4 linked regions of the Notamacropus eugenii genome follow. The protein of the gene in region 3 purifies or fractionates together with the protein of the main gene of each other region. This does not show direct contact. Links are inferred from orthologs where the notes say so. Each region holds a gene or a part of one and is shown on either strand. Other genes may lie near its edges.

Evidence for each region.
Region 1: the proteins of SAP30 (region 3) and BRMS1L purify together in Homo sapiens (affinity purification with mass spectrometry; 4 studies listed by BioGRID and IntAct, with this or other methods). This does not show direct contact. The link is inferred for Notamacropus eugenii from reciprocal best matches to the Homo sapiens genes SAP30 and BRMS1L.
Region 2: the proteins of SAP30 (region 3) and BRMS1 purify together in Homo sapiens (affinity purification with mass spectrometry; 3 studies listed by BioGRID and IntAct, with this or other methods). This does not show direct contact. The link is inferred for Notamacropus eugenii from reciprocal best matches to the Homo sapiens genes SAP30 and BRMS1.
Region 4: the proteins of SAP30 (region 3) and SUDS3 purify together in Homo sapiens (affinity purification with mass spectrometry; 4 studies listed by BioGRID and IntAct, with this or other methods). This does not show direct contact. The link is inferred for Notamacropus eugenii from reciprocal best matches to the Homo sapiens genes SAP30 and SUDS3.

The regions. Positions count from the first base shown.
Region 1 is NC_092872.1:328,079,906-328,087,151, forward strand, and holds the start of BRMS1L (breast cancer metastasis-suppressor 1-like protein), read left to right. Parts: upstream 1-4,135; 5' UTR 4,136-4,413; coding exon 4,414-4,555; intron 4,556-7,246. UniProt on the Homo sapiens protein: Involved in the histone deacetylase (HDAC1)-dependent transcriptional repression activity. When overexpressed in lung cancer cell line that lacks p53/TP53 expression, inhibits cell growth.
Region 2 is NC_092873.1:18,947,444-18,955,215, reverse strand, and holds the start of BRMS1 (breast cancer metastasis-suppressor 1), read left to right. Parts: upstream 1-4,613; 5' UTR 4,614-5,047; exon of another isoform or gene 5,048-5,797; intron 5,798-5,973; exon of another isoform or gene 5,974-7,044; intron 7,045-7,739; exon of another isoform or gene 7,740-7,772. Other genes in the region: B4GAT1 (beta-1,4-glucuronyltransferase 1), read left to right, coding at 1,513-3,240, 3,371-3,562. UniProt on the Homo sapiens protein: Transcriptional repressor. Down-regulates transcription activation by NF-kappa-B by promoting the deacetylation of RELA at 'Lys-310'. Promotes HDAC1 binding to promoter regions.
Region 3 is NC_092878.1:87,835,487-87,843,593, forward strand, and holds the start of SAP30 (histone deacetylase complex subunit SAP30), read left to right. Parts: upstream 1-5,029; 5' UTR 5,030-5,157; coding exon 5,158-5,499; intron 5,500-7,759; coding exon 7,760-7,885; intron 7,886-8,107. UniProt on the Homo sapiens protein: Involved in the functional recruitment of the Sin3-histone deacetylase complex (HDAC) to a specific subset of N-CoR corepressor complexes. Capable of transcription repression by N-CoR.
Region 4 is NC_092875.1:27,137,171-27,144,181, forward strand, and holds the start of SUDS3 (sin3 histone deacetylase corepressor complex component SDS3), read right to left. Parts: upstream 3,128-7,011; 5' UTR 3,033-3,127; coding exon 2,897-3,032; intron 1-2,896.

The sequences.
Region 1 (7,246 bases), on a different chromosome or scaffold from region 3:
TGAGTTACAAATAACATGAATGTAAACACTTCAACTTTAAAGATTTCCTTAAGGTTTTTCTTTCCTGTTTACATTTTCATGTTTCTCTTGATTCTTGTATTTGAAAGTTAAATTTTCTATTCAGCTCTGGTCTTTTCAGCAAGAATGCCTGGAAGTCCTCTGTTTCATTGAAATTCCATTTTTTTCCCCTGAAGTATTATACTCAGTTTTGCTGAGTAGCTGATTCTTGGTTTTAATCCTACCTCTTTTGAATTCTGGAATATATTCCAAGCCCTTCGATCCCTTAACCTGCTAAATCTTGTATTATCCTGATTGTATTTCCACAATACTTGAATCGTTTCTTTCTGGCTGCTTGTAATATTTTCTCCTTGACCTGGGAATTCTGGAATTTGGCTACAATATTCCTAGAAGTTTTCCTTTGGGGATCTCTTTCAGGAGGTGATTGATGAATTCTTTCCATTTCTATTTTGCTCTCTGGTTCTAGAATATCAGACCAGTTTTCCTTGATAATATCTTGGAAGATGATGTCTTGGCTTTTTTTTTTTTTCGATTTTCAGGTAGACCAATAATTTTTAAATTATCTCTTCTGGATCTATTTTCCAGGTCAGTTTTTTTTTCCAATGAGATATTTCACATTGTTTTCTATTTTTTCATTCTTTTGATTTATAATTTCTTGATTTCTCATAGTCATTAGTTTCCATTTGCTCCATTCTAATTTTTTTTTTATTTTGTAATGTTTAACAATCACTGCCATACAATTGTGATTTTATCCCCCCCACCTACCCCTCACTCCCCCCCTCCCTCCCCACGACTGCATACAATTCTGTATAGATTCTACATATACTTTCCTATTGAGTATATTTTCACTATAGTCATGCTATGTAGTCAGACTAAGATAAATGAAAGAAATCGTATAACAAATCAGAACATGATACACAAACACATACACATACACAAACATGATCTGCTACAATATGTGAGTGACTTCCATATTTCTCTCTCTGAGTGTGGCAGGCATTTTGCCTTGAGATCCTCCATTGGGTCCATTCTAATTTTTAAAGAACTATTTTTTTCAGTGAGCTTTTGAACTTCCTTTTCCATTTGGCCAATTCTGCTTTTTAGAGCATTCTTCTCCTCACTGGCTTTTTGTACCTCTTTTGCCATTTGGGTTAGTCTATTTTTAAAGGTCTTATCTTCTTCAGCTTTTTTTTTGGGTCTCCTTTAGCAAGCTGTTGACTTGCTTTTCGTGATTTTCTTGCATTGCTCTCATTTCTCTTCCCAGTTTTTCCTCCACCTCTCTTACTTGATTTTCAACATTCTTTTTGAGCTCTTCCATGGCCAGAGACCATTGTATATTTTTTTGGATGTAGAAGCCTTGACTTTGACGTGTTTCTTTGATGGTGTGCTTTACTCTTCCTCACCTGAAAGGAAGGAAGAAAATACCTTTTTGCCAAGAAAGTAACCTTCTATAGTCTGACTTTTTTTCCCTTTCTTGGGCATTTTACCAGCCAGTTACTTGAATTTTGAGTCCTTTGTCAAGTGGAGGGTATACTCTAGGGACCTGTAAGTTCTTAGTTCCTCCAAGGTGGCACAGTCAAGGGAGAGGAGTTTATTCCTCTCCTGGCCTGCGCTCTGGTCTGTGAGCAAACACAAGCACTCTTTTCTGCCCTGGAACTGAGTAGGATTCTCTCTCCAGTGCTACCACCAGCTCTACCATGCTAGTGTTCTTCCTCACTCCAGGACTACCACTTAGGACTGAGATCCAGATCAGCTGCTGGATTCCCCCATGGTCTTTAGACTGAGGACTCCAAAGTGGATGTTGCTACCTCAGTGGCTGCTGCAGCCCTGGATCTGGGGCTGGGGTTCACCTCACTCCCTTCTCTCCCAGGTGAAAGAGCTATCTTACTGACCTCTGAAGTTGTCTTTGACATTTGTGGGCTGACAAATCTGGGAACCCCAGCAGCTACCTGTGATTCCACACCCTGAAACCTTCTCCAGTCATTTCCGTGCTGCGAGGCCCATGCTGAGCTTCGCATCGCTCTGAGCCCTGTGAGATAGACCTTCCCTGTCAGCCTTCCAAGCTGTCTTGGACTGAAAATCTGTTTCACTCCTTCATTTTGTGGCTTCTGCTGCTCTAGAATTTGTTTAGAGTAATTTTTTACAGATATTTTATGGACTATGGTGAGGAGAGCTTCTACAGATGCATCCTTCTACTCCACCATCTTGGCTTCCCCTCTCCCCCTCCAGGTACATTTTTTCTTGCTTCTACAATATATTTATGATGTTATCTTTTATATCTATCACATTCCATTTGGAATTTACCTTAGTTATATGGAATGAGATGTTAAGTCTACATATAATTTTTTCTACACTACATTTCAAATTTTCCAGTAGCTTTTGTCAAATAGTTCTTAGCTAGTAATTGTGATTTTAGGGTTTATCAAACACTAGGCTATTGTGTTCATTTGTTTCTGGATGTTATGTACCTTGTCTGTTCCATTAATTGACCTCTCTATTGTTTAACCAGTATCCATTTCCCCTAAGCTTAACTTTTTAAAATATTATTTGTTAATTCTGAACTTAAGCAACAAAGATAATTTTCATACTTACAGTAGAACAAAAAAAGTATTGTATATGAAATTGTGAATCTGTTTTATGCCACATTTAAAAATGTGTATGTTTATACACACATACATATTTCCACAAATTATTTTAAAAATTGTCATCTGTGTCTATTAATGCTTCTGAACTTCCTTGTGTTCTGTTTATTTGAAAATAGTTCTATTGCCTCCCTCCCCCCCTTTTTGGCATCACCCTTACTAGCCAATCTCTCCCTCCTCCACCAATTCCCTCAATTAAAAAAAAAGAAAACAAGGAAAACAACAAAAACCACCCTTGCAAAAGAAATCCACACAGTAGCCAAATCAAAAAATGCACATCTGTTTCTGTACTTTGAGTCTTCTCTGTTAGGAAGTGAATAATATCATGTTTCATCCTATAGCCTCTAAAGATATGGTTGGTCATTGCATTGATAAGAGTGCTTTAAGTTTTTCAAAATTGTTTTTCTTTACAATGTTGTTTTCTGTATGTATTTTTCTCATTTATCACTCTTCACCATCTCATTTATTCCAGGATTCTCTAATATTCTCTTTCCTCATTTCATAAGGCGCAATATTATTAATATTAACTTAATGTTAATATTGCCTTGATGGGCACCACACCCTTTAAATTGTATTTGTTTTTCTTTTTCTCTTTTAGATTCCTCTTCAGGAACAGAAATGTGTTGCTTCTGACTATCCTCTTCTCAGTTACTCTTATGCTTTACCTCCTTCTTCACTATCCCCTCTTGTTTCTGTGGCTGAGAGAACAGAATTGAAGTTTTTAAAACAATTATTTGCATAATTCTATGTATTGTGTAGCCAAATCATATAAATTGAGATAGAAAATACAAATTTATTATCTCAGTAGGACTGCAATTTAGTGGAATGAGCACCGGCCTTCCTGTAAGTAGGCGGTCAAAACTGGTAGCCATCACTTGGATCATTTAGAATAAGACTTTCTTTTTACAGATGAAGGAACTGAGGCCAAAGATATTGAGTCATATGTTCTGAGTCACACAGAGGTTAAAAGACTTGTCCAAGGATAGAACCAAGTGATGAGAGCCACTCTCAAACCCACATCCTGCCTCCAAATCCAGTACTTTTCCCACTATACTCCATTGATAGTGAGTTTGGTTATTGCCCTTACTCTGCCACTAACTTGCTGTGAGATCTTTGTTAAATTACTTAATTTTTCTAGGTCTTCATTTTTCTTGTCTTTACATAAATTAGGGGTTGGATTACATTAGTCTCTAAGGTTTCTTATTCTAACAGTCGGTGAAGTTATTGATACTAACAATGAGGTTCTGAACCAAGGTGGGTAGAGGAAATAATTTTCTATTTCTGATAGACTTATACAGTTGGGGGTGGGGTACTCAGATGGCAGCTGTTTAATGGGAAAATGGAAATAGTTCACGTATGTATCAAATATGTGCTTCTGTCTATAAATGAGATTTGAGTGTATGTGATTGGTGCTTTATTGGGACTTGAATTCCAGTTATGCCAAATCACCAGGGCTGAGGCTGTGAAATCCAGTCAACTCGGGTTTCCTTCGCAGAGACTACAACTCCCGAAAGGCAACGGGCCTTCGAAGCTTCAACGTGCGGCCAAGCCCCGCCTCCCAGGCTTCATGGAAGGGGTTCTCCAATGGCAGGGCTTCCATCGCGGGAGCCGGCGGGTTAGGCTGTGAGTTCCAGATAGGGAGAAGACAATTCTGGGAGAAGTCGTGTCGCTTGGAGTGGGGTTGCGCACATAGCCGCACGGAAGGGGCCGTAGCCTGCGAGGAAGAGAAATAAACGCCGGGGGCGACTAGAAAATGCCTGTCCATTCCCGCGGGGACAAGAAGGAGACGAACCATCACGATGAAATGGAGGTGGACTACGCCGAGAACGAGGGAAGCACCTCGGAGGACGAGGACACCGAGAGCTCGTCCGTCTCCGAGGATGGGGACAGCTCAGGTAGGTGGTCAGATCTCCGGCCGCCCGGCCGGGCCTCTCTGCCCCAGCCTCACGTCTGGTCCACTCGCCCCGGAAAGGGGGTAAAAGAGAAGGGAAGGGGCGGAGACTCCTTCCCAGGCCTGTGCTAGGGACCCCGCGCCCCTGTCCCGGCGTCCCTCCGCCCTCTGCGGGGCTGGGAAGGGGAGGAGGCGCCGGCAGCAACTCCTGTACGCCTACGCCGGGTCATGGGTCCCCACAGCTGGCGTGGGCAAGCGGAGCGGAGGCGTGTGGCCCTTCCTGCGCGGAGGAACGCCTTTACACTCTCCGCTGCCTCTGGTCACTTGGCACGTCCTTGCCCCGGCAGCCGGTGGCGATCGCTCCTCCCCACCAGGCCTCGTTGTGTCTGCCCGCCCCTGCCTGCAGCCGATCTGGCTCGGCCATCTCCCCTTGGGTGGGTGCCCCCACGCCCCCGGAGTGAGAGCACACTTTCCTCTGTCCTAATGCCGTTTTTTTCCCTCACCTCTACCTCCAAATCAACCAGCCCACCAGTAACGTTTCTTGAGTTTCCTCTAGAGTATTTAGTAAGGGATGATATGGTCAGCCCTGATCACTTGCAGCAGAATAGAGGGTGAATGGAGTGAGTAGAGGATTGAGGCAGGGAGACCAGTTAGGAGGTTATTGAAATAATCTAGCTTATGTGGGAGAGGTAGAAATAGCATGATTTGGCCACTAATTGGATATGTGCTCTGAAGGAAAGTGAAGAATTCAGAACCTCTGATACTATCCACAGCAGTGACTGGAAGAAATAGGGAAGTTTGGAGGAAAGATAATGAGCTCTGTTTTGAATATGTTGAGTTTGAGGTATAATCTGTTTGGAAATGTCCAATAAGTAATTAGTTGTTGTTGTTACGCAGGACTTCAAGCTCAGAGGAGCTGCAACTGGATGTATAGATGTCTGAATCATCTGCCTAGAGATGATAAAGCAATGAAATTGATGAGGTCCCTAAATGACCTTGTAGAAAGAGCAGAAGAGTCCAGGATTGGAGATCAACTCACAGTTAGGAACCATGATTAGCCAGCGTAGTAGAATGAGGAGGAGCAGTCAACATGTAAGAGAAGAACCAGGAGAGAATAATGTTTCAAAATCCCTGGATAAAGTATCCAGTATCCAGGTTAAAGTAGCAATGTCAGATGCTGCAAAGAGGTCCAAGAATGACTGAAAAAAAATGCCATTAGAACCAACAATTTAGAGATCATTGTTAACTGTGTAGAACAATTTCATTTGAGTTATGAGATGAAGCCAATAGAGAAGACTTGAGTGAGAGGAGAGGAGGTGGAGGCAATGGTTAGTAGACAGCTTTTCTAGGCGTTTGACAGAGAAAGGAAGGATGGGTATCTTGAGGGGGTTAAAGAAGGTTTTTTTTAAGCATGGAGGATTCTTGGACAAATTTTGAAGGAGCCAGTATATAGGGAGAAGTTGAAGATTAGAGAGAGGAGGGAGATGATTGAGTTTGTAATTTGCTGGAGAAGAAGGGATCAGAATAATAGCATTTGAAAGTTGAAACAGTCTTCAAGCAATGTTATAGTCCATATGTGAAGGAATTCCTACTATAACATATCTACCAATGCTCATCTAGCGTCTGCTTGAAGATCTCCAAGGAGGGGGATCCATCACCTCTTGAAGCAACCAAGTTCATTTTTGGACCTCTCCAATTGTCAGGAAGTTATTCCTAACATTAAACCTAAATTGACTTCTTTGTAATTTCTAGCCTTTGCTCCTGGTTTTGTCCTCTGTGGCCAAATAGAACAAATCTAGTCTTCTTCCACATGAGAGCCCTTCAGATAATTAAATTTACCTATCAGGTTCTACCCCCTTAACCTCCCATTTTTTTTTCTTTTGGCTTAAACATTCTCAGTTACTTTAACAGATTCCTATGTGTCAGGGACTTGAGACCTTTTACTATGTTTGCCCTTCTCTGGACACTCAAAAGTTTATTAATATCCTTTTAAAACGGTGGCATCTAGAACTGAACAGTGTTTCAGATTAATTCTGATGAAGGCAGAATATTGTTGGTTTATACCCCGCTTTTCCTAGAAGCTGTGCCTCTTGTTTATGAAGCCCAAAATTACATTAGCTTTTTTAGTTTCCATATCACACTTCTGATTAATATTGAGCTTAAGCCATTAAACCACCCAGGTCTTTTTCATCTTATAGATTCAGCTAGATCCTTACTTGATCATCCATTTAGCTATCATTTTCAGCATTGTGTCATCTTCACATTAGATAAACATGTCTTTATCCAAGTCACTTATAAAACTTTTAAGTAGCACAGGGTCAAGTACTCATCCTTGGATTACTCTACTAGAAACCTCCTGCCTAGATGATATTAAACCATTAATAGCTACTCTTTTTAGTCTTGCCATCCAACCAGTTCTCAAACCGTATGACTGTAATATCATTTAATCCCTATCTCTCCATTTTCTCTATAAGAAAAGATTAGGTAATTTGTTAAAAACTTTATTAAAATTGAAGTAAATCATATCTACAATATTCTTCTCATCTACTAGTTTAATAATCCTGTCAAAAAAAAAAGATGAAATTAGTCTGGCATGACCATTCTTGATGAAGTTAAACTGGTTCTTTGTAATCACCATTTCCCTTTCTTGATGTTCACCAACCATCCTTTTAATGACTTTTTCTAGAATTTTCCC
Region 2 (7,772 bases), on a different chromosome or scaffold from region 3:
GGGGGTTTTTAGCAGTAGGAAGCATTCTGGATTTGGAATAGGGCGCCCTCTGAATTCTGAGGCGGTTAGACTAAGTGATCATCTCAAACCCTTCAGAGCCTGGAATCAGGAAGACCTGAGTTCAAATACAACCTCCGACACAGTCTAGCTGCGTGACTGAACAACCCATTTGCCTCAGTTTCTTCATCTGTAAAAACAGGGATAATAACAGCACCTAATTGGCAGGGTTATGAGAATCCAACATGAAAATGTCCTCCTTAAGATGCTAATAAATTCTGGCTGTTTCTGTTCTGGTGGTGGTGGCCGGGAGCAATCAGGACTGGGCATTGACTCTGGCTGGCTGTGAGGTCCAATGAATTCATGAGCTTCCCTTTTCTTCCTCAGTTCCTTGGCCATGGGTAGGGAGAGCCCTGGTTTGGCCCTGCCTTCTTGAGGCTGAGTCCCATCCCAAAGATTATCACTGGGTCAGATCTTCCTCTGGGGAGAGGGTCACTCCTCTGGGGCCCAGCTTCAGCTCTTTCCACAGAACAAACACAAGGCACAAAGTTCCCTCGAAGCTTAATCGGTGGGCATGCTTTTACTAAGCACCTACTGTGCGCCAGGGACCGAGGCTGCAGAAATTGAAAGCTGCTCCCAAATATTATCTTCTTCCTAAGGGAGGGACAACGTGTGCACGTGTGTGTTTATACCCGACCTCAACAGGAAGCCCCATGTCCATCTCAGGGCTCTGCCCTCTCGGTGTCCAGCAGTGTTTGCTAAGTCGAAAGCCAATCCCAAACCCAGATCGAGATCTCCCTGCTAATCTTGGGCACTTGGGGCTACGGAGCTTAGGACAGGAAGACCACGAGTTGGACAGAGCCCAACAACCACCACGACTTCCCTCGGAAGGTCCCTCCTTTCTCTGGGATCTGGTCAAACTGGAGCCAAAATGTGGGTGGTCTGAGTCTCTCCTGCGAAGGGGAGGGATGACGGGCATCCGTGCCTTTCTCTGGCTGTTTTCCCCAAAGCTCCTAACACGCGAGAGCCTTCCGAGGGAGCTGAGGAGGAAAATGACTGCGGGGCCAGCGGAAAATTGGAACGACGAGGATGGGATTCGAACCCACGCGTGCAGAGCACAATGGATTAGCAGTCCATCGCCTTAACCACTCGGCCACCTCGTCCCGCCGCAGGCTGATTTCTCCGCGCAGCCCCTTGTTCCTGCGTCCGGCTGCGGAGAGCACCGCGCCAGCCTTTCCCCTCCTCTGCGGGCCGGGCGGGGGATCTCTGATGCCAGGAGAGGCGCGGCACAGGGACCCCTGGGAGGGGCTCGTTTCCTGCTCCATGCTCGCGTTTTCCTTTCAAAGGGTGGCCGCGACTGCCGAGTGACCAGGAAACATCCCTCCCTCCGCAGGCCTCTGTGGATAGCTGTGGGCACGTCCCTCCCCCCACCCCCCGAAAAGATTGCGGGAGTGCAAACTAGAGTGGGAACCTGCAAACCCGGGCGCAGGTGTCAGGGTGTCCTTCCACGGTCACATGTGTTTGCGACTCCAGCTTGGCGCGCCCTGTGCGGCCGAAAAGGGGGCTTGCCGGTGTCGCGTCCCCTTCCTGGCAATTCCTAGGGAGCCACGAGCCTTTGTGCCAGGGAGGACACGCTGCCTGAGGCACTGCCTGGAAGTTGCAAGCGAAGCCTCGAGCGCTTCCTTCCCCCCTTTCTTTTCTGCAAGGGAGGAAGGCACAGGGCAGTTTGCCAGCCCACCCCTAGGCGCCTTGTTCCCCTCCAGAAAGGTTGGGTTTGCCAGCCAGGCCACGGGCCCCTCTCTCTCGTTCCTGTTAGAACCTGGGCATCTCTACCCCCCAACACACACACACACACCGCACATCTGCGTGGGCCACACACAGCTGCGGGGCTCGCCGTGGGGCGCGCGGCTGCAGTGCGTCCTCCCGCTGGGCAGAGGGCGAGAGTGCGCTCCGCGGCGGCCCCCCAGTGCCCGGCTGGCCACAGTCTCAGTAGCAGGGATAGCGGCGGCGGCGGCGGCAGCTGCATCCGCGGTGCGCTCGCTCGCCCGGCTTGGCCTCCCTCCTCCGCTCCTCGCCTCCTCCCCAGCCTCCTGCCCCGGGAGGCCTGGGCGGCACGCGATGCCCAACCCGCTGGCAGTGGCGGCGGCGGCGGCGGGCGGCGGGCACGCGGCGGGCCGCTGCTCGGCCTACAAGCTGGCACTGGCGGCGCTGCTGGCAGTGGCGCTGCTGCAATTCGTCTACCTGTCGCTGCTGGCCGGGCTGCACGGGCGCGAGCAGCGGCGCCGCTACGGGCAGCTGTTCCCCGGCGGGGCGGCCCTGGGTGCCAGTCTGCAGCGCCGCGCGGCCGAGAGCGCCAAGGAGCAGCTGCGGGCCGTGCTGGCCGCCGGCGGCGCCCTGGACGCCAGCGGGGACTACCGCGTGTACCGGCACGTTCTAGGGGACCCCTCGCGCCGCCCGCGCGACGCCCTGCTGCTCGCCACCCACGCCAGCCTCAGCAACCTGGGCCACGTGGGCACGCTGCTGGAGCGCTGGGCCGGGCCCTTGGCAGTGGCCGTGTTCGCTGCGAGGCCAGACGAGGCGCAGCTGGCCACGGTGCTGACCTACGCGCTGGGCGCTCTCTGCACGCAGGCCGTGCGCGACCGCCTCACCATGCACCTGGTGTGCCCTGCGCGCACCGAGGCCGCAGTGCCTGACCCGCGGGAGCCGGGCGAATTCGCACGCCTCAGCAGCTGCACAGATGTGTTCACCAGCATGGGCGCCCGGAGCCGCTCAGGTCGCAACTACGCGCTGGCCACCAACGTCTCCTACCCCAACAACCTCCTTCGAAACGTGGCCCGGGAGGGCGCCGGCCATGCCCTCGTCGTGGACGTGGACATGGTGCCCAGCGATGGGCTTTGGACCGGCCTGCTGGAGCTGCTGGCCCTGGGCGAGGGCAGGGCAGGCCGGGCACTGGTGGTTCCGGCCTTCGAGATCCGCCAGGGGGTTCGGGTCCCCCGCACCAAAATCGAGCTGATGCGCTTCCTTAAGATGGGGCACGTTCGCCCATTCTATGCTGAACTGTGCCCTCGATGCCACGCCCCCACCAACTACTCTCGATGGCTCACCTTGCCCCCAGGGGGACCCCTGCGACCTGCCTACCGCGTGACCTGGCAGGACCCCTGGGAGCCCTTCTATGTGGCCGGAGGCGCAGTGCCCTCCTACGATGAGAGGTTTCGGCAGTATGGCTTCAACCGCATCAGCCAGGTGCCGGTCGCTCTCTCCCTGGGGTGGGAGGGAAGGGGCTGACAAAAGGTGTCTGGTAAGAGCTGATGGGGGTGGCAGGAGGATAACCAGGGCCAGTTTGACCGTTTCCTCTCCCCCTCTTCCCTCCCAGGCCTGTGAGCTCCACGTAGCAGGGTATGAGTTTGAGGTGCTGAATGATGCTTTCCTGGTCCACAAGGGCTTCAAGATGCCAGGGGACTTCCACCCCCAGAAGGAGGCAGAGAATCAACGGAATAAAATCCTCTTCCGCCAGTTCAAACAGGAGTTGAAGATGAAGTACCCAGACTCTCCCAGGAGATGCTGATCTGCCGACCCACCTAGAGAGCAGCCTCCAAAGGCAGGGCTGGGGCCTTTGGCTCTTCAGGTTTCCCCCTCAAGCCTGTGGGAGGCAAGAGGGGCTAACCCAGTCCTTCACCCTGGGGGTGGGCCTTTTTTAGGTGGGTGATGAGCACTGATGTGACAAAGCCAAGAGGTAAGATTTTTTGGGGAGTGGGGGACAAGAAGGGATTTGGAAAGGGAGTGGGGACTTTGGGAGAAGAAATAAGCTTCATTCAATTCAGGAAGCTTGAATTGTGGTTCAGAGATAGCTGCCAAAAGTCTTCATTCTTCTCATTTTACATATCCCTAGGTCCCTGCCCTTTATCTCACCACTTATCTTGGGCCACTCTCCTCCCCTCTCTGGGCCTCAGTTTCCCCATCAGTAGAATGAGAGAGTTGGACCAGATGACCAAGGTCCCTTTCACCTCTGAATCTGATGATTTAAGGGGAAGAAGGAGGTTGAGAGTCCTGGACGCCAGCCCCAACATTGCCTCGGACTTGTTGTGTGACCCTTCAGCAAATCCCTTCCTCTCCGAGTCTGTTTACATGTCTGTAAAAAGAGAGAGCTGGAATAGGAGACTTGTTCCAGCTCTAAGATTTGGCATCTGTGACTGGCACGGCCCTGGGAATCAGGCTGGGTGGGGAAAGAACCCCCTTGGTGAGAGGAAACCCCCATCCCAAATAGGTACAGAGCCAGGAATTTTGACTTGGATGACAATATGCCAATAAAGCAGTGTTCAAGTGCACCAGTGTCTCGGTGTTGTTCCCTTCCAGCGTCATCGTGAACGTTGGAAGTCATGACAGACCCAAGGTCTGAGCAAACCACTCTGGAGCCTCAGTTTCCTCATCTGTTAAACGGCAGTAACAATTGTGTGTGTAGTATTTTCTCTCCCCGGGTGGTTGTAAGACCCAAAGGAAAGACTGGCTTTACAAGCTGCAGTACAAGCTCTAAAGTCCTATGTAACTGTAGGTATGTTTCTTTATTACGTCCCTTTCCCGGGAACCTCAGTTTCCCCCTCTGTACAAAGCCAGTAGTAGCCTTAGGGGGCGATGGGAGTGGCTGCTGCTCTAGCCATTTGCCCCGAGCGCGGGGGGCGGGGCGGTCAGGCCTGGACGGGCCCTGGGGCTGCATTCCCGGAGCGCACGCCGGAAGAGGAAAATTCCCACGGTCCTGCACCGCCGCAAGTTAACAGGCCGCAGGAGCGTTCCCGGTTGTTATGGAAACGCGGGGCGCCGACGGCGTCCCAGAGTCCCTCGCGGCTCGGCGCTCCTTGATGACGTAGAACAGCGGTTCCCGCTCGCTCCTCGGAGGGCGGGTCCCGGCGTGTTCGGCCCCTCCCCGGTGGGTGGGGCCCTGGGCGAGACTTCCGGGACACTGCCCGCAGCCGGCCGCGTCTGTCTCGTCCCCTCCCCTCCCCCCGACCCAGGACCTCCCGGAGCGGCCGCCTGGATCTTGGACCCCCCGCGAAAGGTTCGTCCCGGCCGCGCCCCCCTCCCTCCCCGCGGCGCGAGCGGTGGTAGCGTCCGCCGGGGAGGGTTCCATAGGCCCGGACCGGACCATTGCTCCGGGCGGGGGGAGGGTGGTCAGGAGCCCCGCGGCACCCGGCGCCAGGGGAGCCCCTGGGCCTCTCTGAGCCTCAGTTGCCTTCTCTGTAAAATGGCCCTCCCCGGCTGCCCCTGGGGCTGCCGCCCAACGTAGGCTTCATGCTGGGGACACCCCGGCCGGCCCTGCCCTGGGGCTCACCGTCTGCTGACCCCCGGAGGCTAAAAGCGGAGGGGGCCCCTCCGGGAATGGAGACTTGCGATACACCCCGAAATCAGAGAGGTGTCTGTGGGGGTGGGGTGCCCCCCGCCGTGGCCACGTCCGAGCGGAGGCCGGGCTGCCCACAGGCCGGAGTGCCTGGAGAATTGGGGCAGGTTTCAGCCAAGTGCGTCGCGCGTGGATGCTTGGAGAGAGAGGACCATTCGGTCCGAAGCTGCCCATGACCAGGAGCGGCTCCGTGCACTGGGCAGGGGTGCCCAGGGGGCACCGGGGACCTGCGCGTGGCCCCAGGCCCCTTCCCTCGGATCAATGACTGGCCGAATGGTGCCGTGTGTGCAGGATGTTTGGCCGCAGGGATGCCACCGTAGAGGCTGCCAGAGCCAGGATCCAGCCTGGGCTAATTTAGTAAGATACCTAGGTAGGGACGATGGGCAGCGGTTGTGAGAAAGATCCGGGGGTCTGGAGGAGATCGAAGGACCCAGGATGAGTCAGCAGCCCCCCAGGTGGAGGGGACCCACCCCTCTGTGTTCTCTCCCAGTCACCAGACCTCAGGCACACCTCCTCCTCCTCCTCCTCCCCCTCCTCCTCCACCTCCTCCTCAGCAGTATGGTACTCAGTTCTGGGGGTCTGCTTACTATTTATGAAGGATAAAGAAGCTGCGGAGTGTCCTGAGGTGGGCAGCCAGGATGGTCAAGGTCCCTGGGTCCAAAATGTAGCTGGTGGAAAATAGGGAGAAAAGCCTTCCCCTGCCCCCTCCAGTCCAAGGCCCAGTCTGGGCACAGGGGCCTGAGGCACTGTGAGGACCAGGCAGATTCTGTCTTGCAGCAGGAATGAGACTGTGGAAGGAGCAGGACCCGGGTTTGGGCAGGGTTAGCCTAGTTCTCGTTCCCATTCTTCTCTGTAGGGTACAGATAATAATAGCACCCACCCCCCACAGGTGTGGTGTGGACCAAATGAACTAATCTAATTAGAGGTGGCCCCCGTGGGTCAGGGACTAGGCCTGGAGTCAGGAAGACCTGATCCAGCCTCAGACACTTACTTGCTGTGTGTGATGTGACCCTGGGGAACTCACTTAATTTTTGTCTGCCTCAGTTTCCTGAGCTGGAAATGGAAATAATCGCTCCTACATCCCAAGGTTGTTGTGAACACTGTAAAGGATTTGCGCTGTCCCCAGCACCCAGTCGGTGGTTCTTTTTTTCCAGCGCTCTGGCAATGTTATTTGTTATTAACCTTTAAGGGCACCGGAAGAGCTAATTTAGGGTCTAAAAAGGTCTTCTGTGGAAAGCAGCTTCCTGTAACTCATCTGCATGGAATTTCCTTGGGTCGTGTGGGCCCCTGGGAATCTGGGCTCTAACTGCTTAGATGGGGGAGCCTGGGGGGAGAGGTGGGCAGTTCGTAGATTTCCCTTTCAGAGAAGGACAGCTGGACCCCTTTGGACTTAGACATTTCTGGTGAGGGCCTGGGACTCTTTAAATGGGGTCTCACTTTAGAGTCCAGCTTGATTTTGCCTTCCTTGGTCTGTGGTGTGGCTCAGCCAGAGGCTGGGAAGGTAAAGATTTGATTGTTTTGGGCTGGGCTCACCTTCTCCCAGGACAGACTGGAGGCTGAGAGCCAGGGTCATCGTCCCCCAGCCTGGATCCCCTGGCAGGAGCCTCAGCTCCAGGCTGGTTTTTTCCTCCCTGCCCTGTCACCACCTGGTGCACCACCTGGAGGGTGGGATAGAGATTTCTTTGTTTGACCTTCATGCCTCCCGACTCATCTTTACCCCTTGAACTCCCTCTCTCCTCTCTGCCTTTGCCATTGATGGCTTGCCCCCCACCCCCACATCTCTTACCTTCCCTGGTTCTCTGGTGTCTCAGACACCCCTCCCCCTCACCTGTACATGAGTACACATTATGTACACTTGAATGGGAGCTCCCTGAGGGTAACCCTAGATGGGGAAACTGAGACCCACCAGAGGTGACTTGATTAGCCCAAGGTAAAAAGGACATAGATTTCAACTCAGAAGGGAGTTTAGTCCAATCCTCATTTTACAGAAAAGGAAACAGACAAAGAGGGGCAGTGACTTGTCTGAGTGTCTGAGACAGGATTTGAGCCCAGTTTTTCCAGATCCCAAGTCCAGCCTTCTGTCCAGTACTCCCTGCAATCCCTGTGAAATGGCAAAGCCAGGCTTTGAAGCCAAGCCTTCAGACCCCATGTCTAATTGGGGCACCCTGGAAAGTGCTGGACACGGCCCCCAGAGAACCTAGTCCTGTGTCCTCTTATGAAGATTGAGGAAACTGAGAGCCCTACCCACCCACCACCCACCACCCAACCCCCAGGGCAAGTGACTCCCTGGCTACTTTGCCTTAGCAATGATACCCACAATCATGAAGGTTTCCTTCTGCCCTTTGGCCCTTACCTGCCATGTGACCCTGAGCAAGGCCCTGGCACT
Region 3 (8,107 bases):
ATCCAGCACTCTTATCCACTGTGTGACCTAGTTACATGCCAAAAACAGTGTTATAAAATATTTGCCCCTCCCTCCAAACACAGTGTACATTTTTTCTCACAAATGTACATAGAGTCCAGGGAGTAGAGTAAGAGAACAGTAATAAACTTAAAAACATAATGGCAGTGAAGCATATTTGTAGGTAGTATAACAGATCTTGAAGTTCTCTTTCTCCAGAGTCCTGAGGAGTTCACAGCAGGGAACACCTTTGATGACAGACAAGTAACTGGTTCTCAATTGGAATGATTCCTTGAAGGACATAGAATTTCTACTAGGGAAGCTGATCCATTGCAATGTGGACTTTGCTACAAAGTAGTTTTGTATTTGAGAATTGGAATCTTACAAATATGGATAACAGTTCGCAGTTTATTGGAAAAATAGCTGACTAGGAAGTGCATGGACATTCTGACCCTAAGTCAGAGTGAGGCCTCTGAGAGAGACGTAGTCTTTGGTAATCAGGAAAGAGAGAAGAAAAAAATGAATTAAACTTGGGGGCATTGGTCAATGAAGTTGGCATTTTAGGTGGTACAGTGGGTAAACTACTGGACCTGAAGTCAGAAAGAACTGAGTTCAAATTAGATATTTACTAGCTATATAGTCTTGGGCAAGTCACTTAACTTCTTTAAAGTTAGTTTTTTCCTCTGTGAAATTTGGACCATAATAGCATCTTTCTCATGGGTTGTTGTGAGCATCAAATGAAATAATATTTGTATAGCACTTAACAAAGTGCACACAGTAAAAACTATGTAAGTTCTAATTCTAGTTATTACTATGTTGTTATCTGTGTTTTACAATGCTTGATGTTTGGAGTGAGGAATCTCCTTTAGGAAAGGAAATATTCATTCTTGCTTCTGAGAAACAAGCAGACCAAAAGGACTTTTTACTCATCAGTGAGTGGATATTTTAGGGTTTATGCCTATTCTAAAGATCTATGGCAGAGAAGCCTCTGCGCTTTAAGCTAAAGGAGCAATGGCTAAAGGCGCTCTTCTTGGGAGAAAGAGTTTTGCTCCTCTCTTGAAGAAGAGATAAGCATTCCCAATTAAGCCAAAAGCTGTTAGTAAAGAGAATCTCCATAATCTCAGGCTCAGTGGGGCTGTACCTGGCAAAGACTAGCAGGAACCATGTTAAGCATATAAAGCAGAGAGCAGACCAGGTAAAGGGCAGGTTGAACTGACATCTCCAAAAGGAAATGGAAACTGTGCGGCATCAGAGTATTAGTGACCTTCCAAGTATGTGTCTTCACTACATGTGTTGGTTACATGCATCCTTCTACATGCTTACCTTGACCATATGTGTTCTATGCATGAACACTATCAGCTAGGTGGTACCATGGAGAGAGTGCTGGACATGGAGCAATCAGGAAGATTTACCTGAGTTCAAATCTGACCTCATACACTTACTAGTTATAACTCTGGCAACTCATGTAACCATATAATCTGTCTGCCTCAGTTTTCTCAAATACAAAATACCTATTTCCCTGGGATGTTGTGAGGATCAAGTAAGATATGTATAAAGTGCTTAGCAAAGTGCCTGGAACATAGTTGGCATTTAACAAATGGTCATCACTTCTACTCCTGTCTTCTGACTCCAGTCAGTCAACCGGTAATCATTTCTTAAGTACCTACTATGTGCTAGGCACAGAGATACTCACTGGAAACTTCACACCAAGGACTTTAACTACTGCATTGTTCTTTTCTGCCCTCTGGGACCAAGGATCCCAATACTACCTCTCTTCCACATGCTATCCCTTCCGACACTGGACAGCTACCCTCCAAGTCTTCTCTTCTCCAAGCTAAACATCCCCAGTTTCTTCAACCAATTTCCATATGTCATGTTTAGTTGGAATATTCACTATGTGAGGGGAATGGTTGAAGAAGAAGCTAGAAAGGTATGCTGACACTAGATTGTGGAGGTTCTTGAATACTAGGAGAAGTATTTTTTATATTTTATTCAATACGCAATGAAAAGGCATCAAAGATTTTTTAATATTTATAGAGCAGTCATGCAGTTTTTTTTTAACTTAAGAATGATGTTCATAATAGTTGCTGCAATAACAAATACTCATAATCTTCATGCCGTACGGGAGAAAAAACTTTCTATATAGAGAAATCAAGCAGGAAAAAAAAATCAAAATGGGATTAGGTAAATACACATTTATTAAGCACTTACAATGTTTCAGGCATGGTGCTAAGTGCTTTACAAATATCTCATTACAGCCTCAAAACAACACTGCAAGATAGGTGCTATTATTATCTCCATCTTATAGTTTTGGAAACTGAGGCAGATAGAGGGTAAGAGCAGTAAAATATAGAAGACATGTGGAGGAGGAAATAGGCTGGAGGCAAGAAATGTAGCTTTCTTGGTATAGTAGTGGAAGAGAGAAGATATAGGACCTAAAACAAGATGATTGTAGGGGGAGTGAAAAGGCTGGTGAGGAATGTGTGTGAAGATAAAAGTGATACTTAAAAGACAGAATTATTTGGACTTACTGGTTGACTGGATAGGGGCTAAGCGTGGGTCAGGGAGAGGGGTGTCACAGACAACTACCCAGATGACTAGATGTTGGTGTCATCAACAGAAATAGAGAAGTTAGAAAAGTGACATGAGTTGGGTGAGGATTTGATTTACTTAAACACATTTATTAAGTGTCCATTGTGGACTCACCCAGCTCCAGTGAAATATGGTTGAGATTTGGATTAGACAGGATAGACAAGGTCCCTGCCTCATAATTCAGTAGGGAATATGACAGGGCAGCTAGGCAGCACCGGAGATAGAAGTCAGGAAGACCTGAATTCAGATCTGAAGAAGTCACTTAACCTGTTTGTCTCATTTTCCTCATGTGTAAAATGAGCTGGAAAAGGAAATGGCAAACCACTTCAGTATCTTTGCTAAGAAAATCTCGAGGGGTCGTGAACAGTAGAATACAGACGAAAACGACTAAACAAGAGGGAATATGACACACACAAACAAAAGCAAGAAAGGATACATAACAAGTGCTGGAGAGGGAAAGTGTTATTTCATGGGATTGGGGGAGAGGGATGGTGGTGACATCAACAGAAATAGAGAAGACAAGGAGAGAGACACGTTTGGGGGAAGATATTCAACTACCAGAGATTCTTACCTTTTTTTGTGTTTTGGACCCCTGTCTGTCTGTTGAAGCCTACGTATGCTCAAATTTTTTTAAAACATGTGTAAGCTAAAATATATAGGATTACAAAGGCACAGTTATGAAAAATTTTTAAGAGTCCCTGGCCCCAGGTGAAGAACTCCTGAAACCAATCAACCACCCACCCAACCTCCTGGGGAAGAGGCGTTCGGTTTAAGTTCGATATAGGCTAGGGTTTCCAGTGCTCCCAGGTCGGGATGTCCAGCAAGCAGCTGGATCTCCCGGACTCTCGCACCTCTGAGGAAAAGTTTTAGAGGTGGAAAGAACTGAACGCATCTAACCAAAAATGAAGAGATTTGAGCGCTCCCTTCGCAGTCAGGGTGTGTGACTGGTTCAGCTCGTCTGAGGATGGCAAGGAAGTGAGTGGGCAAAGAGAAAAAGGCCTACAGCCCAGTCCAGACGGAGCCGGCAATCCTCACTCCGTTATTAACATGTTCTGCACGCCAGCAAAGACGGAACTTCCATCTGACCCCCTCTCTTTAAGCCTGAGCAGCGAGGTGGGGGTGGGGAGGGTGGGGGACAAGGCCAAAGAAAACAGGACGGTCACAAAGACTTTCAAACTTTCTGCCGAGCCGCGTTCGTGTAGCTGGAGCCTTTAAAAGGATAAACGGGCTGGTGCATGTCCACGCCCCCTGCCCTCTCTTGATTTGGTAACCAAGACTCTCTCCGCCTCTTTGTTTTCCGGACAAGTTGTTAGCTCCGCCCAAGGAAAGAGGTGGACAAAACTGGCAGGCTTAGTGTGCTCGGATAATGCAAAGGTTATATAAAGCTTACCCCCGCCCCCGCCTCGTCAACTGACTGGGAGAGGATGGGGAAGGGGGGCGCGAAACCCAGCCGGGTTCGGGTTGCGACTCTCACCAGGAAACCCACCTGGCTGTGGGCAAGAGTCCCCGTTTCCCTAGCTCCCAACAAGCCGTTGGAAATGCGGGGGCTGGAGATCCGGGGAGAGACTTGGGGCACTGTCCACTGGGCAGGATACCTGGACTCAGCGGCAGGAGGTCCCGGGAAGGGCGCTCCGGTCTGCGGGGCTTTACACTGAGCCAAGGGTAGCTCGGTGCGTGAGAGGCCCCGGGACCCTTTCCCCACCTTCTCCACGCCCCCTGCCTCCTTTCCCAATGCACACACTTGGCATACGGGGAGCGAAGCGAGTGCCCAGCGGGGCACCTCGGGCAGCCTGCCTCCCAGCGATCACCCCAAAGTGGGAAAGTCTAATCCGGAGAAGCCGACCCTGCACTTCCACTTTTCCCAGGCAGCCAGGAGAGAGCTGAGAAAGAGCCAGGCCTGCCAGCATGTACCTGCGCAGTGCACTTCGGTCTTAGTAGTTCTTCATCCGCCCGGGCGAGCCAAAGCCGAGAAGAAATAAAGTATGGGGTCGAGGGAGGTGGAAAGAGAGCCGGAACGGACTACATTGCCCATAATGCTTCATTCTCTGAGGTGGGAGGGGTTGGAGAGGAGAGTGTTTGTGTTAGGAAGAGGCAGGGAGGGGCCGGCGGAGCGGAGGAGTGTCGCGCCTGCGCACTAGCCGCGGGCTGTGGAGAGGCGGAGGAGGGAAGGGGGAGCAGCCTAACAGCTGAAGAGTCTCCACATGACAGAGTGAGCGCGGTTGGAGCCGGACGCCCCTTCCCGAGCCGGGACACGGAGCCTGCCGGCCCGGGACGAAGAGCAAACGCCGGGCCGGGCGCAGAGGATTGTCGGGGTGGTCGTCGGCCAGTGCGGAGTGAGTTGCCGCTGGGGCCCGGGCCGGAGCGGGACCGCTCCGTCCGCCCAGCGCAGGTGCCTCGGGGGCCGGGGAGCGGAGCGGGGACCGAGGCCGGAGCGCAGGCTGCTGCCTCCCCCTCGCTCTCCCGCCGTCCGGTCCGGCTCCGGGTTCGCCGCGGCTCGGAGGGGTGCGTGAGCGGAGGCGAGAAGGGGGCTCCCCCGGCCGCCGCCGCCGCCTCGGAGGGGAGGCCACCATGAACGGCTTCCCCCCGGACGAGGTGAGCCGGGGAGGGGACGCGGCCGCCGCCGTGGCCGCCGTGGTGGTCGCCGCTGCCGCCGCTGCCGCCGCCGCCGCCTCGTCCGGGGCGGGCGCCGGGGCCGGGGCGGGGGCCGCGAGCGGGGCGGAGGTGCCGGGCTCCGGGCCGGCGGCGGCTGCGGCGGGTCCCCCTGGAGCGGCGGGCCCGGGCCCCGGGCAGCTGTGCTGCCTGCGGGAGGACGGGGAGAGGTGCAGCCGGGCGGCCGGCAACGCCAGCTTCAGCAAGAGGATCCAGAAGAGCATCTCCCAGAAGAAGGTCAAGATCGACCTGGACAAGACGGTGAGTGACCCTGGGGCCCCGGCGCCTGCGGGCGGACTTGCGGGAGCGGCGTTAGCCAAGTCACCGCAACTCCTGCGGCGGCATCGGGAGCCCCCTCTTTCCCCATCCACCCTCTCCTGTCTTCTTCCATCGCGTTCACCTCCTTCTCCCATTCCCCCATTCACCTTTATCTTTGGCCCCCGTGCCCTTCCACCCCGTCCACCTCTACGAACTTTTCCCACCTCCTCCTTCCCCTCCTCCCTTCCCCCCACCCCTAACTTCTCTCATCCCCCCGTCACCCCTCAGTCTTCCTTTGCGCCCACTTCTCCCCCTCCTCTTCCCTTCCTTCTTCCCCCTCGGCGTCTTTTGGGGCACGATTGGGAAGCGAAACAAAGCGGGGGAAGCGAGCAGGGGAAGAGTTGTTTTCCTCGCCGCCCCGTGGCCCAGCCTGGCAGGGAGGCTCCTTTGTTAGGCTGCCCGAGCTGGGACGTGGAGATTGGCCCGGCTCGTGGTTGTCCCTCGGTGCTGTGTTTGAAGCCGCCCGCCTGGTCCGGGACAGCCATGGAGTCGGCGGTGGGGGAGCGGGGCGGGGGGCTGCCTCCACTCTCTTCCCCGGACACACTCGTGTATACACACACGACACACACGACACGGAGAGAAGCCTGAGCTCCTCCCACTGTCTGTGGGGGCTGGTGGACAGGGACCTGGGCATTGCCTCGTGGGTGTGTTGCTCGTAGGTCTTTGCCATTTCACGTTCTTGTTGGCAGACCTCCGGGGCTGCCCCCGTGATCGTGTCCGAGGTTTTTAGAAGCTGGTTTGATCCGTTTAGTTTGTCTGCCTGGAGGAAGGTGAAACAACTGTTAGCTCTTTCAAAGGCCAGCCAAAAACAAGCCTCCTCCTTCCTTAAAAATAAGCACGCTCTTTCCTGAATCTTAACTTCCTCTGAGCTTAAAAATCCGTTCGTAAGGGTCTGTCGAGCAAGTCCTTCACGTAAGACAAAGGATCGCCCTTTAGACTATGTGTATTTGTTGAAAAAGTGCAAGAAATCAACTCACATCTGGTAACTGACTAGTATTTAATAAGACGCCGTGCGTTTGAGGCTTGGGGAAAGAAAAAATGAATGATGACATCCCCTCGAGGAGCTTACGTTGACTGGGTTTATTTTTAAAAGTAATATAATAAAAAGTTGATAGAATGTGTTGGGGCCAAAGGAGATCTCTGAAGTACCGAAAGAGAATGTGAGGAGGGAGAAAAAGACTCGTAGCTGAAGGATCTGGGAATGCTTCTCGGAGGAGGCACCTGAGCTAAACCTTGAAGGAATTTTGATTGGCTGAGTGGTAGAAGAGCCTGCATTCCAGGAACTGAAACAGGAACAGGCCAGGCCAGCAGTGCACAAAGAAGGCTTTTCCAGCTCAAGGACTAACTAGCAGTCCAGTTTGGGAACCTAAAGTATAGGACGGGAAGTGATATGAAATAATTTGATTCTAATGTCAACATACAGTTTTAAATAGTGTTACAATCGAAAAGGTTATAAGTAAATTAGTTTGTTTAAAAGTTAACTTGTATTTGTTTCTACGAGTTTCATTTTCTTGAGTCATGGAAAGTTATCTTGAAACTATTGGGAGGGTAGATTCCATTGGAAACAGAAATGTAGACTCGGTGATAATCCAGTTTATTAGGATCTGAATTATGAATAAAGAAACTGGAATTAGTAGTTAACTTTTTTAAAAAAGTTGCTATCTACTAAGTATTTATGATACCCTGATTATAAGTTGGAAGTTGTGTTTGGAAGAAAGAAGGGGAAAAATAGAGAACATGTTGTACTTAAAAAGATCCTCTCTAGAGAAAGCAGTGTGCTACTCAAAAGAGCTTTACAGTAAAAAGAGCCTTTCTTATATTTGAGAGAGACAGCCCTAGACTCATTGCCCTCCCATAGCATTTTGATGCCAGAAAATAAAGGCCTAGAAAAAACTTCTATTGTCTCTCTTCAGCAGCATACCATTTCTGAAATAGACTAGTCACAACACAACAAGGTAAAGTGCTCTTTCCTTTGTATCAGATGAATCGCGGTGATTTCACATGAAGGATTCTGGGGGGAAAAGGAATATGATAGAAATGAAGACGTCCAACTTATAAGTTACTTTTCTTATAACTTTATCCTTAATAATTCATTATAGCATATGGTACTTCCAGATTAGAATCTAGATTTTAGTTTAATTATGTAATAATGAGCTCTGTTGGAGACTTGGGTTTTTTTTGATGATGTCTGTTTTCCCCCCAGGCAAGACACCTCTATATTTGTGACTTTCACAAAAACTTAATTCAGAGTGTTCGAAACAGAAGAAAGAGGAAAGGCAGTGATGATGATGGAGGTGATTCACCTGTGCAAGATATAGATACTCCAGAGGTAGATAAGTAGTTATTATATTTTTTTGTTTTTCAATTCAGCAAATATTTATTAAATACCTATGTCATGAACTAATATTCCTGCAGTGAAATAATTAAAATGCATGTTATTGTTAATAGTTATGCCTGCAAGTAGGTGAAGTTTGACTTTGTGATATTTTCTGTTTTAAGTCTTAATTTGATGTTTAATGTTTCCCATTCTCCTATAAAGAAAAGGTACTTT
Region 4 (7,011 bases), on a different chromosome or scaffold from region 3:
ATGAGTTGGAGAATGAAATGGTAAACCACTGAAATATCTCTGCCAAGAAAACCCAAAAAAAGGGTCGCAGAGTTGGACATGATTGAAATGACTGAACAAATACTACATGACCTCACAGGTTTCTTTTAGCTTTAAGTCTAGGGAACAATAGCAAGTGTCTCTGAATGCTAATTAACAGAAATGCTCAGCCATCCAGCAATAATAGAGGTTAGAGAAGAGACAGAGATGGTCCAAAAACTGGCAAGGAAAAGTATAATACATGTATGTCATACTGATACTAAGCCATACTGAATTTGAAATCAAAAAGGATTCTCACTCAATTTCCAGTTTTGTCATTTCCTAGCTGTGTGACCTTAGGCAAGTCACAACCTGGGCTTCAGTTTCCTCATCTGTAAAATGAGGGAACTGGGTTGTTAATCTCTGAGTTCACTAAATGCTAGCTATTATAGTATTCCAGCTCTAATCTCCATAATCCTAAAATAGCTAAACTTCCTACCCCCAGGTTCTAAATCCAGGAATCTCAGAATTAGAATAACCCTCAGAGAGTACCAAATACAAATGAAAATTCTCTCTACATCATAACCAACAGAGACACCAAAGCCAGAAGACTGCCAGTGTTTCAGATGCTGGAAGCTAGAATAGAAGTCATTCTACTCATGAAGAAGTCCTTAGGAAGTTCTTAGGTAAAAGCCAAATTTGCCTCTTTGCAGCTTTTACCCACTGCAGGGCCAATGACAGGTACTTTGGATATAGTCCTTTAAAGCTAAGGTTTAAAATAAAACAGCAAATCTTTAAGATTTGCAGAGCACTTTACTTTGAGTCACATAATAATACTTCAAGGGACGCATTGTTATTATCCAAATCTTACAAAAGAGGACGGTGAGACAGGCAGAGGCTGAGTGATCTGCCCAAGATCACATACCCACTGAGTGCGAGAAAAAGAATTCAAACTCAGGTCTTGACTTTAAGTCTTATGCTCTCAAAGGTGGGGAACCTGCAGCTTCAAAGACATACATGGCCCTCTAGGTCCTCAAGTGCAGCCCTTTGACTGAATCCAAACTTCACAGAACAAGAAGTTTGGAATCAGTTCAAAAGGTCACACTTGAGGGCCTAGAGGACCACATGTGGCCTTGAAATAGAAAGTTCTCCACCCCTGCTCTCTCAACTGTGCCACCTAGCAGAAGAAATCTAATCTGACTTCCAGGTGAAAGCTCTGCAAAGTATTAAAAGTCATTTACTTATTCACTAAGTATTTATTATACATCTTCCACCAGGCAAGGTTCTAGGGATGTTTTTGGGCTGTGGAAACAATCACCACAGAGTACTCCTGTGAGTGATATCTCCTTCATCAATGGAAACAAATACACAACTGCAGCGGGTCTCCTGCCTCAGCCCCTTGAAATGTGGGCTCCTAGAGGGCAGGGGAACCCAGAACTGGCCCACACAAAACACACTCAAGATTGTTCCTACAACTTAGTCTTAAGAGAGGTGCCTTAAGGCACAGTGAGGTTAAGTGCCCAGGGAAAGCCATCACTAGAATCCAGATCCTCCCTACGTCTTCCCCCCTCTCTGGTCACACAGCAAGAGGCTGGATATTGGTGTCTTCACCACACAGCAAATAATAACAATAATAATAGCTAGGATGGAGGAGCTTCACAAATATTATCTCCTTTGGTCCTCACAACAACCCTGGGAGGTAGATACTACTATCATACTCATCGTTTGATTTTGTTCAGTCATTTTCAGTCTTGTCTGTCATGACCCCATTTGGGGTTCTCTTGACAGAGATCCTGGAGTGGTCTGCAATTTCCTTCTACAGCTCATTTTACAGATGAAGAAACTGAGGCAATCTAAGTGAAGTGACTTGCCCAGGATCACAAGCTAAGAAATGTCTTAGGCCAAATTTGAATTCAGCTCTACTCTAGGCCCAGCATTTTATCTACTGGGCCATCTAGCTTTTGTTTATTTTTCATATTTAAACGTTTCCTGTGGTTTCTAAAATTATTTTTACGGAAATGACATTAGAGCCTTTGTGCTCAAGAAGCTTATATTCTTCTTAACACATTCCCTGTCACGCCAGAACGTAGCACACAGTAAGTGCTTTAAGAAATGACTACGGAGCACAGGATTCTACAGAGGGAAACAATGTTACAAAGCAACTATACAAAGTAAATACTGTGGGGAGGGGCCTAATTTGTCGGGGATAGAAAATACCAGAGTAAATACAAAGTAATTTGAAAAGAGACACCAGCAGCAGGCAGGGGGAAGGGCCCAGGAAAGGACTTCCCCCCCCGGGGGCTTACACCTACCCCTTTCCAGCCCCCCTTATATGGTGTCTCCCCCATTAGAATGGAAGCTCCCAGCGGGCAGAGTGTTTGTTTTGCTTTTATTAGGATTCCTGAGGCTTGGCCCAAGAGCCAGCCGAGCAAACAGCGAGTGTTTAATAAATGCTTGTTGACGACACAATTAGTAGCTTTAGAATTAAGTAGGTAAAATCTAGAGATTCTAAAAAGCTCTAAGGAAAGGATGGGTCTCAGTTTCCCCTGCTGCAAACAAAGGTAACTGGTTCGACATGGTCTCCGAGGTTCCTTCACGGCTCTAGTTTTCATTCGACGATTCTCCAACTTTTCGGTCCCAGGATTAAAATTTGAGGGACTCCCTCCCCCCAAAAGAGTTGTGGCTCGAGTGGAGTCTATCGATATTTACCACAACAGAAATAAAAAGTTTTGACAAGGCTGCCCCCCTCCCATCCCCAGACCACTCTGAGAACGTCTGGACCCAGCCCGAGGCGAGGAGAGCGCACTGCAGGCGTGGGGCCCGACTTGGGCAAAGGCGCCGAGGCTGGACGCCCAGCTCTCTCTCGCTCGCTCCCCTCCCCCGGCCCGGCGGGCGGCACCTTCGTCGGACTCGCGGCCGCGGCAGCTCCGCTCGTCGTCCTCGGCGCTCTCCAGCTCCTCCTCCTCCTCCGGGTAGTACTCCGGGGCGGGTGGCGCTCCGGCCGGGGCCGGGGCCAGCAGCCCGGCCGCGCTCATGGCGCCGCCGCCCGGGCCTGGGGCCGCGGGAGGTGTCGGCCTCGGACTCAGGGACGCGAAGGGAGCCCAGGGAGCGGCCGCCTCGGCCGCCTCAGCAGCCGCCGCCGCCGCCGCCGCCGCCTCCTCCTCCTCCTCCTCCTCCTCCTTCTCCTCAGCCGCCTCCTCCTGAGCCGCCTCCTCCTCAGCAGCCTCCGCCGCCGCTTCCAAGCCCCGCCCCCGGCGCTCGCGCTCGGCAACGGGGCCCTCGCGCGGCTGCTTCCGGGTCACGGGCTGCCCGGCGCGCGCCTGATCCCGCCCGCTCCCTGCCCCGCCCCGCCCAGCCTAGAAAAGCGAAGACCCCCAGCTCCTCACCTGAGTTCATGACGCTTCTCGCTCCCACCTCAGCCGGGTCCGTGCAGACGGCTCTAGCAGCCCCAGGGGTGGGAATCATGATTATGCATGAGCAGGCGAAGCGAGCGGTGCCTCGCGGAGCGGTCAGGACCCGCTCCTCCTCCGCTCCCCGCCCCTCCCCGCCTCTCTCTCCTTGGAGCTCCAGGACGCTCCTCCCCCAGTGGCCACGAGGCGGCGCCGGAGCCCGGGCTGCGAGTCCGGGTCAAGATCACCGCCCCCGCCCCGGGTCTCCAAGTTCAAACGCTTACGGGCGGGAAGCCAGAGGATGGGGCTGGGAGGAAAGGTAACCCGGGACGCCAGCCCAGGAGAGTCTCGGATTCCTGGGGGGTTCGGGGGTGGCCAGACCCCTCTGTGCCCATCTGTAGAATGGGCACGCTGATTCCCGTAGCTGCCTTCTCCGGAGGCTGCGGCAGAGGTGCCAACGACAGGCGCTTAGCTGCTTTTTGCAGACTTCCTAGCGTTTACATAAAGGCTGTCCTTGAAGATTAGAATGGAGCTGGGGAGTCCCGAGGAATCCAGGTTAAGAAAACCAGATTAGACCCATGCGGGTCTAAGATCCCTTCCAGGTCTGGATGTCTATGGAGAGCTGGAAGGGACCTTTAGGCTAATAACTGATCGGGCAAGTATTAAACTCCTTCTGTGTGCCAGGTGCCGGGGAAGACAAGGACACAAAGGAAACAGTCCCTGTCCTCAAGAAACTGACATTCTGAGGGAAGTCAAGTTCATAGCAAAGTAAATAGAAAACGGAGGATGTAAGTAGTGACAGACGATGAACGAACTTCACAAAGAACAAATACCACGTTACTGGGCGCAGTGGATAGAGCACCAGGTGGGGAGTCCGGAAGACCTGAGTTCAAATATAACCTCAAACACTAGCTGAATGACCCTGGGCAAATCACTATCTGACTCAGTTTCCTCTTCTGTAAAATGGGGATAACAATAGCCTCTCCTTTCCCACCCCGCCCCCCTATAATTGTAAAGTGCTTAGCTAAGTGCCTGCCAGATAGTAACCACTATATAAATGCTATCTATTATTATTGGTGTAATTATCATTATGATTATTAATGGGAAGAGGAAGGTGTCCAAGCAGGAAAGGCCTCTTGAAAGAGCTGTCATTTGAGAACACAGCACCCGAGAGGTTCTAAAAGGCTGAGGCAGGTTCTTAGGGAAAGAATAACTGATATTTATGTGCCACATTAGAGTTTACAATGTATTTGACTGACTTTATCTCATGGCAGCCCCACAAGAACCTGGGGAGGCAGATATTCCCAGACTTATTGTCTCCATTTTACATCTATTTCAAGCCCCTCTTTTGAAGAAGAAAACTGAAAGCCCAGGACATTGTGAACTCCTTCAGAGCAGGGCCTTTTTTGGGTGTGGAAGGGTTTCTCTGTATCCCCAGCACTTAGCACAATGCCAAGCACATAAGAGGAGCCTAATAAAATGCTTCTTGACTTGACTGACTTGTCCAGAGACGGTAACCGGCAGAACCTGGGTTCCCTCCCAAGTCCTTAGACTCTCACTTCAAAGCACAGCAGGCCTGGGTCCTCCTGGGCCCTCCCAGCTCTGGCATTCTATCTTCTATGGCCCCACCCAGTGTAGAATCAGAAAAAGAAAATCAAAAGTCTGTACTTCTGATCTACTGCTTTGAATATCAGGCATTCAATACAGGACAAGTAAGAGGTAAATAAATATCACGGCTTTATTAAACAACTCAATTCAAATATTTTCAGCTTAACAGAGGGCAAAGGTGGAGGGGCGGGGCAAAAGGCTAGGAAGGAATGTTTTCCAGATGATTTTTACCAGTAACCAAAAAAGAGAGGATGGGGAGGAGCTAGGTGGCTCAGTGGATAGAGCACCATGCCTAGAGACAGAAAGAATCATCTTCCTGAGTTCAAATGTGACCACAGGCACTTACTAGCTGAGTGACTCTGAGCAAGTCACTTCACCCTGTTTACCTCACTTTCCTCATCTGTAAAATAAACTGGAGAAGGAAATGGCAAACCACTACAGTATCTTTGCCTATAAAACCTCAAATGGGGTCACTGAGAGTAAGACAGGACTGAACAATAAACAAAAAAAAAGTTTCGCCCCCATCTACTGCCCTGTTAACCATACAGCCAATCAGGGTTACCTATGAGATCTTGTTACACTTGTTAGAACAAACTAATGTGGGCATTTTCCTTAGAAAGGAGGGTTTACCTAAAAATTTAAATTTGCACATGAATTCATCCTGATTGCTTATGTTACTTATGACCTATTGCAGAGCTGGATGAAGCAAATATTTGCTGATTCTTTTATTAAGGGGCCCGGAAGGGGGCTCAGATAATTCCAGACCAAACCTTTCATAGGACAGATAAAGAAACTGCTGCCTTGAGAAGAGCTAAGTGGTTTAGCCCAAGGTCAAGGCAAAGCTAGAACAAAATGACACACAATTTACCATGAACATATCTCCACAGATGTTTGCACCAAATTTAGTAAAAAAAATAAATAAATAAATAATTTTTTTTTTTTACTTTATGGAGAGGGGAAAATGAAACAAAGTAATAGCAAAGGCAGGGGTGGAACCCAAGGATTCTGAATTCCCAACCTTGACTCTATCCAGACCAGGGGTGGGGAATCTTCGGCCCTGAGGCCACATGTGGTCCCCTAGGCCCTCAAGTGCAGCCCTTTGACTGAACCCAAATCTCACAGTGATCCCAAAGGGATTTGTTTGGTACAACTTGCACTCAGTCAAAAGGCAGTACCCAAGGACCTAGAAGGCCTCCAGAATTAGAGCTCCCCACCCCTGATTCAGCCTAACTTGGCCTTTCATTGTGCCAAACTTTTCCTCTGTTTGTTTTCAGATTGCAGTTTCATGCCTTATTCCAATGTAAACCCCAGTCTTTTCTGATAGTATTACCAAGCATTTGTCTGCCCAGAAAAGATACTCAAATATAATCTTGTCCAGAATGGGGTGAATCTTAAATTATATTCTAATTTTACAATGTTTTTCCAGGAATTTCTCAAATTCTAACAATGTTACTGAACCAGTGTCAATCTCAGGGCTCACTACCCCACTTCTCTATTTTTAAACTCAAGATTCCAAATTTGACTACAGACTTCAGGAAAAGATTGTGTATGTGTGTTCTATTTGCACCTAAATTCCTCATCATCTGCTTTCATTTTGTCATAAACAACTCACCCGCTCTCCCCAAAGAGGAATTTCCCCAAATCCATCCTCCACACTATCTTCTTGATGTAATATCTCAAGAAATCACTGAAATTCCTCTTCTTCCTATCCTCAACCCAAAACAGTGTTCAAATACTCTGCTAGGTCAGGTTACCTGCCCTCTCCTAAGAAATTCATTTCAATGAAACTTTTGGTACCATCAGTATCTACCTAGGACACTTCCATATCCCCAAATACAAATGTTGATTTAAAGAGGAAGAGAATAAGGTTTAAAAGTAATTAAAGAATGTTTTACATGCCTATACGTTGTTTTCTAAATCCCAAATTTGAAAAGCACGGGCATCAAAAACCAAAGAAACAACCCCAAATGCAAAACAAACACTCTCACCATTCAGACTGCAACGGGCAAATCCGATT